Linked DNA regions of Oryctolagus cuniculus. The protein of the gene in region 5 interacts with the protein of the main gene of each other region in a pairwise test. Links are inferred from orthologs where the notes say so. Each region holds a gene or a part of one and is shown on either strand. Other genes may lie near its edges. The genes, in order: keratin-associated protein 13-1, KPRP, SHFL, CRKL and TNS2.

Region 1 (2,742 bases), on a different chromosome or scaffold from region 5:
ACAACGTCAACCCCTACCTGTAGTTTGAGTAATAAAAATATCTGAGGCCTCCAAAAGTTTGGTCAGTTTACTCACCTCATTGATTTTTTTTTAAAGATTTCTTTATTTATTTGAAAGGCAGAGTTACAGAGAGGCAGAGGAAGAGAGAGATAGGTCTTCCTCTGCTGGTTCACTCCCCAAATGGCCACAATGGTTGGAGCTGAGCCGATCCTAAGCCAGGAGCCAGGAGATTCTTCCAGCTCTCCCACATGGGAGCAGGGGCCCAAGGATTTGGGCCATCTTCTCCAGCTTTCCCAGGCCATAGCAGAGAGCTGGATCGGAAGTGGAGCAACTGGGACTCAAACCGGCGTCCATATGGGATGCCTGCCCTGCAGGTGGCAGCTTTACCCACTATGCCACAGTGCTGGCCCCTCACCTCATTGATTTTCAAAACCAATCTGTATAGATACATTGATAATTTCATAATGATTTCTTTAATATTTTAGAACCAAATAAATAATGAAACAAATCTAATATAGATTTAAATCAGAATCAATGCATTTATTGAGTAAAAATTTGTTTTTTCAAACAATAATGAGTAGTTATCCTATAACATAAATTTTATCTCCAATGAAGACTTTAGACTTTATTTTGAGTTAGTACACAAATTACAGATTTTCAGATGAAGTCTGTCAGCCAGGATTTGATGCCAGAGACAGGGTGAGAAACTGATAATCAGAAAATAGGAAGCTAAATAGGAAGACTATAACAATTATTAATAGAGGCATTAAAGACATTGGTCAATGGCGTTAGAAACTTAATAAGATGATCAACAGACGCCGGATCCAGACCAACAGGTTGGCTGGAAACAAGAAGACTGGCAGGTCCTAGAGGCTGAGCAGGATGGGCGGCAGAACCCAGATCCATAACCCAGTGAAGGAAAGCCATGGACTCTATAACCCAGGGGTCTGAAACCACTGGATCCGCAGCCTGAGGAGTGGCAGCTCCTTGGTCCACAGCTCAGGGAATAGGAGCTTCTAGATCCACAGCCCAGGGAGTTGCAGCTGCTGGATCCAAAGCCCTGAGACCCCGTGTAAATTGTCCTGCAGGGATTGCAGAGTGTGGAGGTCCTCCGGCGGTAGCAGGACGTCTGGCAGGGGCTGGACACCACATAGGAAGTCTGGCAGCTGGTGGGCTCACAGCCAGGCTCCTGACAGCCACTGTACAAAGAGGAGCCCGGCTGACATGTGCTGGGACATTGGAGTCCTGCACTGTAGAACGAGTTGTTTGGGTAGGAAGAGCCACAGGAAGACCTTGGGTAGCGCAGGTAGCCCCCAAAGGACTGAGAGAAGGAGTTTCCAGAGCAGCAGTTGTAGGGCATGGTGACTGGAGGTGGGAGAAGGTTCTGAGTTTGGATGTCACTTGTCACTGGGACATTTATATGCTCTCAGCAATGGGTGTGGCCCTTTACTTACAATGTCATCTTTTCCATAGTTAGACTCCCTCATTTGCATATACGTCACTCAGTAAAACTTCTTTGTAATTGCAGCAAACTAACACCCTTCATGTTGTATTTATGGGTGAACTCCTTTTGTTTTTACAGCTCTGTGTCAGTGAAATACACTTATGCTATAAATGCTATGACTGTATGTAATTAGTGTCTACTCCATCACAGCCAGGAAAGCCCCTGTTTTTTCCCAGGCTATGACATGTAAATCTGCTCCTGTTTGGGCTGGAGAATTCTTTCTTCCTAGGGTGAGGACTGTAAAGCAGCCATCTCCCTCTTGGTCCTTGACTGAGAGGAAGAAATCTGGTCTTAATAAGGAACCTTTTAAAGACTCCCTCACCATCAAAGCGTTGTTTCAAATCCTCCAATATAATTTCCATCTGTTACTTATCATCAGTGTTTACTATGTTTAGTCTAGATATGCCACATAAAACCAAGGCAAAGGAATTGAGAGATGACCAGGAATGAACAGCATCTTGCACAAACATATAGAACAAATTTACTATTCAGAAAAATGATGTGAAAACAAAAAAGAGAATGATATGGATGTAAGCATAGGGAAAAAATGTAGTAGATGTGATTTAGATGAGATAGGAAACAAGGAGCAATAGCAGAGGGAAAGGCAGGATTTTCCTGAGCCCAAACCCTGGGGATGGATGGTCCAACCTCATTTAAGTCTTCAAAACTGTTTTCTCTGGTTTAATATGGTTTGAGAATGCTCCCCAGGGGTTCTTGCGCTGGAAGCTCCATCTCCAGTGCAGCAGTTGGGAGGTGGAGGAAACGTTGATAAGGGTGTGCTAGTGGAAGATCATTGCGGGTGCTGTCTTTGGAAGTTCTTGTAGGACCCTGATTAGTTCTCATGAAAGTAAAGTGTTATAAAAAGAGCAAGACTGGCTCCTTTCCCGTCTCTGATTCTCTGCCCCTCGTGTGGTCACTCACACACACTCTGCATGATGCCATGAGACAGTTACCAGAATCAAGCGGAAGCTGGTACCATGCTCCTGGGTTTCCAGAACTGTGAGTTAAATAAACCTATTTTCTTCACAAATCAGTTACTTCACACAGTTGGTTATAGCAACAGAAAATTAATGAATATTTTTTTCAAAATGGATCTAATTCTTGGCATTTATTTTGTAAAATGTCCTATGGTTACCCTCCCTATAAACATCTATAAACTCTCACATCAAAATTTTGAAAGATATCTGAAAATTTCCAAGGACATCTCATCTTCCAATTTTTCCTCCATATATATATAT
Region 2 (3,987 bases), on a different chromosome or scaffold from region 5:
GCTCTGGATACAAACAAGGCTCTGAACACTGCCGTGCTGGAGGACGTGGGAGGGGTTCTGGACGTGGACACTGACGTGGGGCAGGACGTGGGCATCGCTGACGTGAGGGCTCCGGACACTGCTCAAGACGGCGTGGAGGACAGGCGCTTGGCAGTGGACGCGGCTCTACACGTGGCCTCAGCTCCGGACAGGAGGCACCCCAGGAGGACTGGGGGGCACAGCTCTGGGAGCAGCCTCTGATGGGGGGAATCCGCACAGGGCACCTCTGTGGGGGAACCTGCCTGGGGCAGCAGGGCGAGGAAATCTCTATGCGGCACTTGGGTCCGCGTCTCTGAGAGCAGCTGGGAGGAGGGCCGCGAGGACAGCGGCTGCCGTAGATGGGTTCAGAGCGGCGGGGTGGGGTGCAGTAGTTGTAGGAGCCGGACGAGCATCTTGATGGCAGGCAGCTGCTGTAACAGGGCCCAGAGCGGCGTGGTGGGGAACAGCTCCGAGGAGAAGGCTGCAGCCGGCGAGGAGGGAGGCACCTGCTGGCACTCTGAGATCGGCGCTGCCCAGTGAAGCTGCCATAGTAGCCCTGGTTCTGACACTGGGGTTCAAAGGAGCTAAACGAAGGCCTTGACTGTCTTTGGGGAGCGCAGCTGCCATAGGAAGCCTGGGACTGGCGCTGGGGGCTGCAGCTACCATAGGAAGCCTGGGACTGGCGCTGGGGAATGCAGCTGCCATAGGAAGCCTGGGACTGGCGCTGGGGGATGCAGCTGCTGTAGGAAGCCTGGGGCTGGCGTTGAGGGGCACAGCTGCTGTATGATCCCCGATACTGGGCCTGGGTGGAGAATCTTCCCTGAGCCTGGTGCACTGGGGGACATTCTACATACGTGTGGACGGGCTGAGGTGCTGCATAGGGTACATAGGTCTGGACTGGGCACTCCACGTAACGTGTTTCTGTATAACAAACTGGAGCACATTCTACATAGCAAGTCTGAATAGGGTGTGGGACTTCACATTGCACATAGGACACCTCCGATTGGCAAGGAGCCTGGCACTGAACACAGGCAACTGGAGCCTGGCCCTTCACCTGGGTGGTCTTAGACTTGCAGGGAGCTTGGCTCTTCACCTGGGTGGTCTTAGACTTGCAGGGAGCCTGGCATTTCACTTCAGTAGTCTTAGCCTGGGATGGAGCCTGGGAAACTTGAACTGGGCATAGCGTGGGGCACTCCACAATTTGCATCTCACAAGGGGCTTGGATCACCATCTGGCTGTTGGCATAGGGGGACTGGCCGTTGGCATAGAAAGAGGAACCCTTGACGCAGCACTGGGGGAGTGGCAGGCAACATTGAATCTGCTGCTGGTCGCACATGGTCCTGATGCAGGCAGGTGAGTGGGATCTGAGGTGGGCAGACCAAGACAAAGAAGATGAGAGTTGGAGAGCAGGGGACAGAACCCCGGGGAGGACACCCTGCATCTTCCTTGATCTTTTCCCCTCCCTCCTCAACCTTCACCCAAGAACGCTTACTGATTTAGGTAAACACGTGATCAGTCCTGACTGTCCGTGAGATCTGCCCTTGGTCTACCAAAGGGCCAGCTTGTGCTCTTCCAGGGTGGCTGGTATCCAGGATCCATCCCTGGAGGGGGGATATACCAGTGTCCAGCACCAGAGGGCACTGAAGACAAAAGAATTCACACTGGTGCACGTCCTAAGTGGAAGAAGCAGCCCTGACTCCCAAGGCTGCAGCCCGAAGTGGGGACTCCACACCCACAGGAGCTTGGATTTCCTCTCACACACATACTGGAAGCACACACATTTGTGCAAACATATTTTTTAAAAGGTGCATGTGGGAACAATCCCTCAGGCACCATCTGCCCTCATATCTCAAAACATCCATGAGAAGGTTAAGGATGCAATCAATTATTGGGCAGCTCCCACTTCACGTTAAATGTTATCTATATTCAGTGTTTTTCACATGTACTCATTAAGATAGATGCCCACACATATGCAAAAGCTTGCACAGACAAAACACACCAGGCTTGAAAGGAATTGAAATCAAAATGGTAACTAGCTCAGGCAGGTTGCAGTTGTCAATAATTTGAAGTGTGGCAGTCTGCTGCCTTGAGAAATGTTCTCTCCCCAGCCGCTGTCAGAGGCACAGCAGTTCCCTAAGATGGGGTGACCTAGAAAACGCAAGGTACTTGATCCCAAGACTGACATTCAGTCACTCTTAAAGATCTGGGCAGCAGGAGCATCATAAACATGGCCTGGGGGATGCTCCACCAGGGAGACACAGGACAGCCTCCACTCTTCTGCACTCATCAAAATCCATGTGTTCCACAGCCCAGCAACCAACAGCAGTGGCTGATTTGACAATTGGTTCATCCAACACCACACCTCTCGATAAACTCCCACATTCTGAAAATGCTTCTAATGAAGCACCTGTAGCGATTATCTCAGAACATACTCCCCTGGAGAGAATCTCCTACCCTCATCTGACTGTTCGTAAGCTGTAAATTACTAGTGCACCTTTTCCAGGTCCTGGGGAGAGAAAACAGCACCCAAGGGTGCAGTCAAGTGTACCAAAGTGAACTACACTGATGCCATAGCCCTAGATCTTCTCATAAGCTCCATAGTTATGCTTCTCAGGTCCCCCAAAAGGTTACCAAGCTTCATCCCCATCCCAATCCCAATCCCAACTCTTAGACTCACCTTTCTCATAGGCACGTAGGCATTCAGGCTAAGGAGTGTTGGCAGAAGGCTGCCTTTATATAAAGGGTTCTGGCCTGGCTTGAGCCATGAGACAACCACTTGGTATCTTCCTGGCTCATCACCCAGGTTGGCATTCCAGCAGCTGGTTGCCTCCCTATATCACCCTATCCCTGCAGTCACCTGCTGAGTGTGGGAGTGTCTCGCCTCAGTGTCGAAGCTTCTGTGCTATGAAGGAGCAGAGTCTTGTTCTCTTTCCCCTCTTCACCCTATCAGCTTTTCCATCCCTACAAGAACTGATGTTGGCAGTGGCAAGGGGTGGCAGAGGAGTATTCTCTCCTGAAAGATAATTCTACCCCCTTCCTTCCACCTTGCCGCACATTTCCACTAGATATTTATAAGAGGGAAACTTCCATAACCTGAAACAGCCAAGATTGCCTCTGTGAGAAGGGTGACTACAGAATGAAGAGAAGGCAGAGTCAGGTCTGAATCCAACATTCCACATCAGCTACTTGCTGCAGCATAATCTCTGTAACCAACAACCAACCTGTTTATTAATTTCCTGCACTATGAAATAGAAATAATTAAGTCTCCTTTGCTGAGCTGCTATGAGGATTAAGGCAATTATTTTATATAAAGCTGCACAGCTAAGAATGATATTTAAAGTATCCAAAATCCTCTCAGAGTAAAAATTGGTCATCAGCCATAAGCATACCTGATCAACAGGTGCCTGCCCCATACCAGTCCTGAGCTCAGCACACTGATGCCTGCATAGCAGGTGCTTAGCTGATGCTACAGAGAAGTCTTTGAAGCAACAGTGTAGGATAGAAGTAATAAACTGCATCCTGTGAGCCAGGTACCATCAAGATGGATATCTTTTATTGGTTTAATATTATATTGATCATTAGTATTAGAAATATGTTTTACTTAAGATTCCAAAAATAAATTTTTTTTTCTAAATCCATAGTCATAGACAAACCCACATTCCATTAATGAGATTAACAACTGCCAGATTTAGATAAGGTATATACTTTCCATTTTATAATGTACCACCAGTCTTTACTACATCTATGATCGAATTCAAAATGTAAATTTCTTAAATTATTTTTCTTCTCTTATTTTTCTTTGTGGAAACTAAGAGGAAACTGAAATAATCCTTAGTGCCTGGATCATTTTATCTGATTATGTCACCTTCCAGCTCTTGTGGGCATTTATTTTTTTTTTTGTTTGTTTGTTTGTTTGTTTTTTAACTTTTATTTAATGAATATAAATTTCCAAAGTACAGCTTATGGATT
Region 3 (4,225 bases), on a different chromosome or scaffold from region 5:
CCCCCTGCTTTCTCCCAGGGGAACCTGGACGCCACATTTAGGGTTGTGGCTTTGGAGTCAAGTTCAATTCGCAACCAGCGGGGTCGGAGGTCAGAAGTGCAGCTGCAGGTCAGCCGGTGGGATGCGGGTCAAGCTCGGAGGTCAGAGGTCAGGGGTCAGGAGTGGCGTTCAGGACAGAAACCAAGGTCAAGTTTTAGGCGGTCACCTCCTTCCGCTGGGGCACACGGCGCCACCAGACGTGGTCGCAGGAGGAACAGGCGAACTGCCTGTCCACGGCAGGGATTAGGTCATCCTGGGCCCGCTGGAACATGCGCAGGTTGGCCTCCGTCAGCGGCAGGAGGGAGGTGGCCACGGCCTGCGGGACGGGCAGGGTGGGGACAGGGGTCACCGTCCTCTGCCTTGCACACGTCTGCCGCCACCCCCACACGGGTCCCCCTGCCCAGCTGCCAACTCACCTGGATGTCTCGGTCCTGCTTCATGTCCTCTGGGGGGTCCTGCGTGGAGACGCCAGGGGCAGAAACTGGGGCAGGCACTCGGGTCTCCCCTTTACCCGCCTTTGCTGGGGGAGGGGCCTCCCAGAGCTCAGAGCAGGTGCACAGCCAGCAAGGAGCAGGTACATGGCTTCCCTTAGCCATTCCGTTAGCCCCGACAGGTGGGCGCACCTGTTCTCGCCATTGCTCATATGGGGAAACTGAGGCCCAGAGGCAGGGGAGGGCTTGCCCGAGATCATCCTAACGCCCGCAAAAGCCAGGGCTGGGCCAGGCCGAAGCAGGGAGCCTGGAGCTCCATCGGGGTCTCCCATGTGGGCGGTAGGGGCCCAAGCTCTTCAACCATCCCTGTCGCCTCCCAGCGTGCCCATGGCAGGAAGCTGGACCGGAAGAGGCGGAGCCGGACTCCAACCAGGCATTCCGCCTCGCGCTAAACACCAGCTCGCCACCTATTTGAGGCCCCGTCGCTTTCGGCTAGTGCTTGGGGCTCTGGATTTGAACAGACACAGGTTCAAGTCCTGGCTTTGGCACTTCCGGCTGTGAGAACGTGGGCAAACCACTCGTCCCCCCGGGGCCCCTGGAGAAAGCATGACTTCACCACCGTGCCTCAGTACTGGTCTGTAAAATGGGCTGATCAATAATGGGTCCTGGCTCGTGTGGTGATCAAACAAGTCAGTTCCTGGAACCTGGCCCCTCGGGGAAGTGCCGGGTCAATGATTACCCTCTGTGATTATTTCTATCACATGCTTTATGCCTATAAAGATTAGGATGCGCACTTTATCTCCAGGTAGGTGAGATCCAGCCATTCCCACACAAAGCCAGTCATCACTCATTCATTCGTTCAACACAAGGACGCCCTAGCCGCTTCCCCCTTCCCGCCTCTTCTGGGGTCAGTTCCCCCTCTTCTCTCCCAGCCTATGCTACCTGTCACCCCCTCCCCTGCTTTTCCATTCCAGGGCTCACTCCTCCCTGTCAAGGCTTTGCATCACCTCCTCCAGGGAGTCTTCCCTGACTTCCTGGGCTCCCTGGCACCAATGGCGGCGTCCGCTCCGCTCCATGGAACACAATCAGCACTTAATGAGCACCTACTGTTTGCAGGCTCCCTGGCCCAGCCGATGATTGAGGAAGGTGCTGTGTGTGGCCAGCCCTGCTCGCTCCAGAGGGTCCCCCCGGCTCTCCCGCCCGGTACCCCGACCTTGGAGGCCAGGGGACAGGTTACCTGCGCGTCCAGGTCATTACTGAGCTCCTGTCCGTCCTTCTGCTTTACCCCTGGCGGGATAAGACAGGGCCCCTGAGCGGCCTGCGCCGCCCAGACCCTCCCGCGGCTAGACCCTCCCGCGGCTGGGCCCTCCCGCGCCACGCCCCCTCGGCGCCGGCCGGGGACCCCCGCGCGCTCACCGTACACGATGGAGCGACCCACGCCGGTGTGGTCGCTGCCGAATTTCCTCATCAGAGCCCCGGCCTTCTTGGGCGACACCTTCCCATGAAACTTCTCCCGGAGGCGCCGGACGCTCTTCTCCAACTGGGACGGGGGGGGGGGGGGGGGACAGGTGGGCTCCGGTGGGGGGGGGAGGGACGAGCCGCCGCCCCTCCCCCAACTCCAGGTAACATTCCTGGGGCCTGAACTTTAGCCTTGGTTTTGGCCTCCGCCCCCTCCCCCCTTCCCACCATCTCTCCACGACATTTCCTGCACAACCCCCAAGTCCCTACAGGGTCTGGGGGTGGGAGCGGATGGCGGGCGCGGGTCCCAGCCTGCGGGCGGGGCGCACAGGTAAGGCCTGGGTCTGACCCCTGACCCCGCAGCCCCCGCTTCTCCTCGGGGGGAGGCCGCGCTTCGCTCCGGAGGCGGGGGACGTGAGCGGCGCGCTCCTCTCCGAGGGGGCCCGGGCGCTCGCCCTGAGCATGGGATGGGATGCGGATGGGGGTCCCCCAGGAACTGCGGAGCCCCCTCGGCGCCCCCGGGCCCCCCTCGGCGCCTGCCGCGGGCCCCTCGGCTCGCGGCCGTGGCCATCGCCTACCTCCACACCTTCCTGAGACATGGTGGTGGCGCGCAGGTCCCCGCGAGGGTCCGCACTGCGTGGCTCAGCCGCCCTCCTCGCTGGGCGCGCCCGTCGGTCCGGCCGCCGCGCAGGGCAGGGGGCGGGGTCTCGCGGCCGGCTCCGCCCTTCTGCCCGGGCCCGGTGTTTCGCTTTCGGTTCCGAAGTGGGGAACGGGTGCGCTGGCTCCGCCCCGGCTCCGCCTCTGCACTTGCGCCCCAAACCCAGGCGGGCGCGCGGGGTCTGCGCCCTGCGGCGGGGCGCGCGCACCTCGGGCGGGGGAGGCGGCGCGGCCTCTGCAGTCGGTCACATGTCCCCACGCTGCGCGGGGGCCGCGTCTTCACGTCCCCCGTGGGGGCGGGGCCGCCTCCGAAGGCAGCGGCGGGTCCCCGCGCCCCCCACTCCCCGCGTGCGCTCCCACGGACCGGGCGCTTGTTAGGACCTGGGGGGGTTTGTGGGGGGGGGTCCCTCCTCCCCTGCTGTTGAGTTCCTGACAGGCCACTGTGACGTTTCTGATCCTCAGTTTATCGCTCTGTAAAATGGGAATGATCCATAGGTGCTTGTGAAAAACACAGGGTGATGGGCCCCAGCTTTTGGGGGGCGCTTTAGAAATGTGCATTTTATTTTTTAAAAGTTTTATTTATTTGGCTGGCAGAGATAAAGAGAGAGAGTGCATTCCCATTTGCTGGTGGACTCCCTAAATGCCTGGGTCAGGCCGAAGCCAGGAGCAGGCATCTCAATCCGGGTCTCCCACGTGGGTGGCAGGGACCCAAGTGCTTGAGCCACCACCTGCTGCCTCCCAGGGCTGTGCTATAGTGGGAACTGGGACCTGGATCAGAGCCCAGGAGTTCAGCTCATGCCATGCAGGCCTCTCATGTGTCCCGTTAACCCTCTCAAGCCAAATGCTTGCTTTGGAATCTGCATTCTCAATCGGGCGGTTGAGGGGCCCATGGGGCCCCAGCAGAGGGGCCTGGGGAGCCTTTAGCTGGGACCCTCGGCCTGGGGACATCATCTCCTGCTTGGACAGAGCCCCAGAAGTTTGAGGTCATAGCTGGTGAGGATGGAGTCAGGTGAAAGAAGCAACTGCGTTTTCTCAGCCGCCTGCACAGAGCTGCGGACACTTTGGGCCAGTAGCTCTTTGCGATGGGGATCTGTCCCCGGCCCCCATGCCCTAGATGCCACCGGAGTCGTGGCCCTCCTCAGAAGTGGCCTCCGGACACTGCTGGAACACAGGGCGGTGTTGGGCACAGAGGTTTTGCTGCCGCCTGGGACGCTGGCATCCCATCTTCGAGTGCCAGGGTTTGAATCCCAGCTCCCGACTCCAGTGCCCTGCTGATGCGCACCCTGGGAGGCACCAGGAGATGGCAGGTGCACGGGGCTCCTAACACCTCTGGGGGAGACCTGGAGGGAGCTCCTGGCTCCTGGTTTTGGTCTGGTCCAGTGTTGGATGTTGTAGGCATTTGGGGAGGGAACCAGCGCATGGGAGATCTCTGTCTTTCAAATAAATAAAATCAATTATTAAGTTAAAAATATGCCTACCATAGGATTCATCAATCCTACAACAGGCACGCCCCTGTCACCCACGAGGGAGACTCGGATGGAGTTCCCAGCTCTTGGCTTCTGCCTGGCCCAGCCCTGGCTGCTGCAGGTATCTGGGAAGTGAATCAGCAGATGGAAGACCTCTGTAATAATAATTTTTTT
Region 4 (3,515 bases), on a different chromosome or scaffold from region 5:
AGGGCACTCTTTTCTGGATTGCTTTCGCAAAGACAGGTCCATTCTGTGTGGATGGCAAGGGGTTGATGGCTGCCCCAGGAGTACTGGAAACTGCAGGTAGAGGAGTTGTGGTCTGAGGTTGAGCATACGCATGAGCAGGTTCTGGGATCCCATAGCTATTGGAATTCCTATTTCCGTGCTTTCCGTGTGGCGAGGATCTCACGAGCTTTTCAACATAAGGAACAGGGATCATCCCGACCCGACCATCCTTGTTCCGGGCGCTCCACCACTGTTCTTCAGGCTTCTCTACTATCACCAGGATCTCACCTTTTTTAAAAGGCAGGTCTTCAGCATCATTCCCAGGAAAATCATAGAGAGTCCGTACATATTCCAGATTTTCTTCTGCTGTAGGCAGGTTGGGTGCCGAGACAGATCCCATTTGTGGGCTTGGATACCTTAAGAGAGAAAGAAAATTAGGAGAAAAATCTTACCAGTGTCATCAAACTTTTTTTTTTTTTTTTTAAGATTTTATTCATTTTAGAGGTAGAGTTACAGAGAGAGAGAGAGAGACAGTGAGAAAGGTCTTCCATCCACTGGTTCACTCCCAAATGGCCACAACGGCCAGAACTGGACCAATCTGAAGTCAAGAGCCAGGAGCTTCCTATAGGTCTCCCATGGGGTGCAGGGGCCCCAGCACTTGGGCCATCTTCCACTGCTTTCCCAGGCCACAGCAGAGAGCTGGACCAGAAAAAGAGCAGGCAGGACTAGAACCACAGCCCATATGAGATGCCAGTGCTGCAGGTAAAAACTTAGCCCACTATGCCACAATGCTGGTCCCTATCAAATTTTTTAATAAACCACACTCCTCCATAATGAATTATTTCTCTATATTTATTCTCAGGAGTAAGAAGGTTCTTTCAGATTGTACTTTCTGTAGTCTTTAATGAAAGTCAATATCCTGAGTATGCCTTTTCAAATTACATGTCAAATGTATATACACACCACATCTGCTTTATAAGTTTTTGTTTACATATAGATACCCAATTTTTTTTTTTTTTTTTTTTTTGGACAGAGTTAGTGAGAGAGAGAGAGAAAGAAAGGTCTTCCTTTTTCCGTTGGTTCACCCACCAAGTGGCTGCTATGGTCAGCGCGCTGCGCTGATCCAAAGCCGGGAGCCAGATGCTTCCTCCCAGTCTCCCATGCGGGTGCAGGGCCCAAAGACCTGGGCCATCCTCCACTGCACTCCTGGGCCACAGCAGAGAGCTAGACTGGAAGAGGGGCAACCAGACAGAATCCGGTGCCCCGACCGGGACTAGAACCCAGGGTGCCAGCTGATACCCAATCTTAATTTATTTTTAAAATCTTAAGTTCAGTAGCTGCCTTCCATTGGACTTTGTCACAAATGCCACAAATTCTTTCTCCCAGTCCTAATTTAATGACACATCCTGCACATTTCCCTGGCTACACAGAGAAAAGATGAGAAAGGTCTGCCTCTGGTCCCTCAAAGTACAAAAACCAGATGTCTACCAAAATAAAATTACCACCTGATCATCAAAATGAGCATCAATGAAACTTACACTGCAAAACGCACAGGTCAGAGCCCCCATGTAAGCGTCAGTCTGCTGCCACCACTGCAGCTTTGCAGTGGCTACAGATATATTAATATCTGCCCAACGACATGTAGGATGAACTCCCAGGGTCAGCCACACAAGCACAGTCCTGCTAACACCCACCAGAAACACGAGTCTCTCCTCGCCTGAGACAAGGTTTGAAAAGCTGGAAAGCCACCAAGTGGAAAAAAACGTTTCTTCCCCTTCCCCTTTTCTGAAGCCCAGAATCTACCCTAGGCTGGGGTGCCTCCAGAGTTTGTATCTCACTAAGAGGGGGCTTCACCAAAGCCTGCATCCACTCCAGAAAAACTGCGGCAGCTTTTCTTCCTAAAATCACAGCACAGGTGTGTCTGCACATCACTGGCCTCCACCACCTCCACTGTCACAGCATTCTGTGAGCACAACATAAGGAAGCGCCCCTGGATAGTTCACTGTTTCTTCATGTTTAGCCGTCAATGCCACACACTTTGAGCATATTTTCCCTTTATCACTTTTTTAACTTATGACTCCCAGAACTCAAATAACTAGGTTAAAGAACGTGAACATTTATTATGGCCCTAAATATATACAGCCACATTACTTTTTTTTTTTTTTTTTAAGATTTATTTACTTATTTGAAAGGCAGAGTTACAGAGAGGCAGAGAGAGATTCCCCCATCTGCTGGTTTACTCCCCAAATGAAAGCAACGGCCAGAGCTAGGCTGATCTGAAGCCAGGAGCCAGGAGCTTCTTCCGGTCTCCCATGCAGGTGCAGGGGCCCAAGGATTTGCACGATCTTCTGCTACTTTCCCAGGCCATAGCAGAGAGCTGGACTGGGACCAGTGCCCATATGGGATGCCGGCACCTGAGGCTTAGCCCACTATGCCACACAGCACAGGGGAAAAATAAATCTTAAAACAAAAACAAAAACAAAACCTTGTATCTCTTTTTACTACAACTACTTTCATAAGTCATAATGATTAGGTGATTAGGAGCTTGATTTAAAATTTCAAAGGCCTTGTTACTTATTAACAATTTTATAACCAAGGGCAAACTGCTTAATAGCAGTTTGTCTTAAAAATATCAGGTGTGGGCCGGTGCCGTGGCTCACTAGGCTAATCCTCCGCCTTGCGGCGCCGGCACACCGGGTTCTAGTCCTGGTCGGGGCGCCGGATTCTGTCCCGGTTGCCCCTCTTCCAGGCCAGCTCTCTCCTGTGGCCAGGGAGTGCAGTGGAGGATGGCCCAAGTGCTTGGGCCCTGCACCCCATGGGAGACCAGGAGAAGCACCTGGCTCCTGCCATCGGAACAGCGTGGTGCGCCGGCTGCAGCGCGCCGGCCACGGCGGCCATTGGAGGGTGAACCAATGGCAAAGGAAGACCTTTCTCTCTGTCTCTCTCTCACTGTCCACTCTGCCTGTCAAAAAAAAAAAAAAAAAAAAAAAAAAAAAGCTAGATTTCAAATTGTTGCACTACAATAAACTTATCTCAAACATTATTTTGAGAGAGAAAAAGCTTTCACCTGTTGGCCTACATGCAATACACCCCTCACCTTCCTTCCACATCTCTTGCTTTGCTCATTCCAGTTTTTTTTTTTTTTCCTAAAGATTTATTTATTTGAAAGGTAGAGTTAGAGAGAGGGAGAGAAAGATCTTCCATCCACTGGTTCACTCCCTAAATGGCCCCAACAGTCAGGTCGAGCTTCTTCCAGTCTCCCATATGCGTTCCCAGGCACATTAGTAGGGGGCTGAATTGGAAACTACCTCAGACTGGAACTAACCCCCATATGAGATGCTGGCGCCGCAGCTTTAACCCGCTGAGCCACAGCACCGGCCCCATTCTGTGTGATTCTAAGGGCCAAACCAACATATTCAGTCCCCACCTCTTCCCTCAGTAACAAATCCATCAGGTTACTAAAGCACACCTGGCTGCCATTAGGTTCCCCAAAAGAC
Region 5 (3,515 bases):
CTCCGCCTGCCCCGCCCCTCCCCCCCAGGAGCTTCAGCCTGGACCCTCTCATGGAGCGGCGCTGGGACCTGGACCTCACCTATGTGACGGAGCGCATACTGGCCGCCGCCTTTCCTGCGCGGCCGGACGAGCAGCGACACCGGGGCCACCTGCGCGAGCTGGCCCACGTGCTGCAATCCAAGCACCGCGACAAGTACCTGGTGAGGGGCGGGGCCTTCCGGGGTCAGCCAATGAGAGGGCTAGGAGGCTGCTCACCGACGTCCAACCAGCGGAGGCGAGGCCTCCGGAGGGCGGAGCCAAAGTGGTAGGGGCGGGGCCTGGAGGGCCGACACCCACCCACCCAGGCCAGGACTTCAAAACCTTATTTTATTTATTTATTTACTAATTTATTTTGAGGATTTTAGTTATTTATTTGAAAAGCAGAATGACAGAGAGATCTTCCATCCACCTGCTCACTCCCCTAAAGCCAGGAGCCAGTAGCTCCTTCTCCCCCCGCCTCCCCCCCATCTCCCTTGTGGGTGGCTGGGATCCCAGGGACTTGGGCCACCTCTGCTGCCTCCCAGGACGGGCTCCCAGGCCCCCGTGCTCTATGCCCTGCTGGCTGTCTAAAGTGTCCCCTTTTGTTTCAGCTCTTCAACCTCTCAGAGAAAAGGCATGATCTAACCCGCCTGAACCCCAAGGTAGGCGGAAACGTCCTGCACCGCCCCCATGGGCCTGCCAGCCCCAGGGCAGCGCTGGGCTTGTTACTGGACACACCCCCACAACGTGGTGCGGCAGCCATCAGACCAGTGTAGGGGTGGCTGCACTGCACAAGAGCCTCCGACCTGGTCCCTTCCCACACCCCTACCCGCCCATCTCCGTGTGCACACACTGTACCCCCACACCCCACCCCGTCTCTGTGTGCACACACACTGCACCCCACCCCACCCCCAGGTCCAGGACTTCGGCTGGCCCGAGCTGCACGCCCCACCCCTGGACAAGCTCTGCTCCATCTGCAAAGCCATGGAGACCTGGCTCAGCGCTGACGCACAGCACGTGGTCGTGCTGTACTGCAAGGTGGGCGGCCACCTGGGGCTCCCAGGGATGGGTGCCCTGCCCCCACCTGGAGCCCCAGCAGGCCCTCCAGCCCAGCCTTCCTGTCCCTCTCTCCCAGGGGAGCAAGGGCAAGCTCGGGGTCATCGTGTCTGCCTACATGCACTACAGCAAGATCTCGGCAGGGTGAGCTCCCCTCTCCTACCAGCCCTGTCTTCTGAACGCCTCTGCCCGGGAGCCCACCTCTATCCGGAGAGCCTACTACTCAAAACGCGTCATTTCCACCTTCCTTTTCTTGCCTGTGCGGGACCCCAGGCCCCAGCAGATGCCCTGTGCTGGCCACCAACCGGCCAGCTTAGACCAATAGAGATGGATGGGCTCGCGGTGCCCAAGGCTGGGCGCCCAGCCCGAGGTGCCTGCAGGGGTATGCTCCCTCTGGGACTCTGGGTAGAAACCCTTCCTGCATCCGTCAAAGGCTACTCCCCCTCCCTGTGTGTCTGTCTCTCTGTTTCTTCTCTTCTTATAAGGACTCCAATGATCTCCTCTTAACTAATTACGTCTGCAATGATCCCATTTCCAAATAAAGTCACATCCTGAGGTACCTATCTTCTGGCGGGGAGGGGGGATACAATGCAACCCATGGTGTGGTCTCATCAGCCCATTTTACAGACAAGGAGACTGAAGTGCTGGGTACAACTGCCTGAGGCGCAGCGGAGTGACTGTTGCATGGGGCTCCTGGCTCTATTGCCCACCACACTGGGCTGCCTCTAGACTTTGGGTGGGGGCATCCCCAGCTCTCCTCTGTCCCCTGGGGCTTGAGGCCAGGATGCAGGGCAGCCCCTAAAAGCCCACACCGACCCCGCTGTCCCCAGGGCAGACCAGGCACTGGCTACTCTCACCATGCGGAAATTCTGTGAGGACAAGGTGACCACAGAGCTGCAGCCCTCCCAGCGCCGGTGAGCAGCCTGGGTGGGGATGGGCCGGCGGGGCAGCCCCTACCACGGCCGCCAAGGCCACGGGAGCTCGGCACGGACAAGCAGCTGCTTACACCCTAGTGGGGTAGGAGGCAGGGGCGCGGGAGCGAGAGGCAGAGATCTGGTTAACAGCTTGCCAGGCAGGTGCACCACTTTTAGGCCAGCAACAGGGACCCAGGCTGGCGATACAGAACTTCCTGGGGCCCTGGAAGCTGGGAGGGATGCGCTAAGGAGAAAGGCGAGCCTGGTGGGGGGGGGGGTGGCAGCAGGGACCTCCGGAGGAAGGGCTTAGGTGGTCTTTGTCCCCCACCCTCCCCCCCAGGTATATCAGCTACTTCAGCGGGCTGCTGTCCGGCTCCATCCGGATGAACAGCAGCCCCCTATTCCTGCACCACGTGCTGGTGCCCATGCTGCCAGCCTTCGAACCCGGCACAGGTGAGTCCGCCCGCGAGGGACCCCTGGAGAAGAGTCCCCACCCCCTCCACTCAGGACCTCTTACATGCCTCCTCCTGTGTGCCCCCAGGCTTCCAGCCCTTCCTCAAGATCTACCAGTCCATGCAGCTCGTCTACACGTCGGGAGTCTAGTGAGTGCTCCGCCCCCCAGGCCCCCTGCCTCCTACACGGCCAGCGCCTCTGCTGCCCCCTGTCAGTGGGTTCCTGCTCCAAGAGCCTCTCCAGACACCTGGGCTTCCAGCTCCAGCCACTGCACTTGGAAGGCAATACCCCCGTGGAATCCATTTCACAGATGGGGAAAGCTGAGGCCCGGGGTAGAATCTGAGCTCCCCAGCTCCCTGCTGCCTCTGACTCGGCTCTGCCTTCTCCCTTGTCCGCAGCCACATTGCAGGCCCTGGGCCTCCGCAGATCTGCATCAGCCTGGAGCCAGCCCTCCTTCTCAAAGGCGACGTCATGGTGAGGGTCCCAGCAGCAAGCAGAGACCCCCGGGATCCCCGGTTGAGGATGGGGGTGGGGTGGGGGTGGGGGCGAGTCCTGCCAGCTGCGCGGGTCCCCTGGAGGTGGCAGAAGGGCAGAAGCCGCGGTCTGGCCGCCAGAGGGCGCCTGACCCCTGGCCTCCCCTCCCCCAGGTCACTTGCTATCACAGGAGCGGCCGGGGCACCGACCGCAGCCTGGTCTTCCGAGTCCAGTTCCACACCTGCACCATCCACGGCCCGCGGCTCAGCTTCCCCAAGGACCAGCTGGACGAGGCCTGGGCGGGTGAGTGAAGGGGCGGCCAGAGCCGCGGCAGGTGCGAGAGGGTGGAGCGGGCCAGGGCCTGGATCCTCACCCCCTGCTCCCCACAGACGAGAGGTTCCCCTTCCAAGCCTCCGTGGAGTTTGTCTTCTCCTCCAGCCCCGAGAAGATCAAAGGTAAAGGGGGAGGGGAGTGCGGGGTGGGGATGGGAGTGGGGGGCGTGCGGGAGGCGGGGGCCTGGCTCTCCCGGGCTCCCAGACATCCAGGCGGGCCTTTCCACAGGCAGCACCCCACGGAACGACCCCTCGGTCTCTGTGGACT

Evidence for each region.
Region 1: the proteins of TNS2 (region 5) and keratin-associated protein 13-1 interact in a two-hybrid assay, tested with the Homo sapiens proteins (2 studies listed by BioGRID). The two-hybrid records come from large-scale screens. The link is inferred for Oryctolagus cuniculus from reciprocal best matches to the Homo sapiens genes TNS2 and KRTAP13-1.
Region 2: the proteins of TNS2 (region 5) and KPRP interact in binary tests that used the Homo sapiens proteins (3 or more experiments, as listed by UniProt). The two-hybrid records come from large-scale screens. The link is inferred for Oryctolagus cuniculus from reciprocal best matches to the Homo sapiens genes TNS2 and KPRP.
Region 3: the proteins of TNS2 (region 5) and SHFL interact in binary tests that used the Homo sapiens proteins (3 or more experiments, as listed by UniProt). The link is inferred for Oryctolagus cuniculus from reciprocal best matches to the Homo sapiens genes TNS2 and SHFL.
Region 4: the proteins of TNS2 (region 5) and CRKL interact in a two-hybrid assay, tested with the Homo sapiens proteins (2 studies listed by BioGRID and IntAct). The link is inferred for Oryctolagus cuniculus from reciprocal best matches to the Homo sapiens genes TNS2 and CRKL.

The regions. Positions count from the first base shown.
Region 1 is NC_091435.1:14,994,605-14,997,346, forward strand, and holds keratin-associated protein 13-1, read right to left. Parts: upstream 1,390-2,742; 5' UTR 1,361-1,389; coding exon 809-1,360; 3' UTR 508-808; downstream 1-507. UniProt on the Homo sapiens protein: In the hair cortex, hair keratin intermediate filaments are embedded in an interfilamentous matrix, consisting of hair keratin-associated proteins (KRTAP), which are essential for the formation of a rigid and resistant hair shaft through their extensive disulfide bond cross-linking with abundant cysteine residues of hair keratins.
Region 2 is NC_091438.1:45,508,171-45,512,157, forward strand, and holds the start of KPRP (keratinocyte proline-rich protein), read right to left. Parts: upstream 2,813-3,987; 5' UTR 2,696-2,812; intron 1,620-2,695; exon of another isoform or gene 1,511-1,619; intron 1,383-1,510; 5' UTR 1,355-1,382; coding exon 1-1,354.
Region 3 is NC_091447.1:67,206,266-67,210,490, forward strand, and holds the start of SHFL (shiftless antiviral inhibitor of ribosomal frameshifting protein), read right to left. Parts: upstream 2,812-4,225; 5' UTR 2,528-2,811; coding exon 2,507-2,527; intron 2,011-2,506; coding exon 1,887-2,010; intron 1,758-1,886; coding exon 1,708-1,757; intron 495-1,707; coding exon 456-494; intron 356-455; coding exon 206-355; intron 1-205.
Region 4 is NC_091452.1:29,687,250-29,690,764, reverse strand, and holds part of CRKL (crk-like protein), read right to left. Parts: intron 435-3,515; coding exon 1-434. UniProt on the Homo sapiens protein: May mediate the transduction of intracellular signals.
Region 5 is NC_091442.1:56,117,581-56,121,095, forward strand, and holds part of TNS2 (tensin-2), read left to right. Parts: intron 1-28; coding exon 29-200; intron 201-629; coding exon 630-680; intron 681-933; coding exon 934-1,056; intron 1,057-1,153; coding exon 1,154-1,218; intron 1,219-1,904; coding exon 1,905-1,988; intron 1,989-2,328; coding exon 2,329-2,441; intron 2,442-2,529; coding exon 2,530-2,590; intron 2,591-2,839; coding exon 2,840-2,915; intron 2,916-3,088; coding exon 3,089-3,218; intron 3,219-3,304; coding exon 3,305-3,370; intron 3,371-3,476; coding exon 3,477-3,515. UniProt on the Homo sapiens protein: Tyrosine-protein phosphatase which regulates cell motility, proliferation and muscle-response to insulin. Phosphatase activity is mediated by binding to phosphatidylinositol-3,4,5-triphosphate (PtdIns(3,4,5)P3) via the SH2 domain.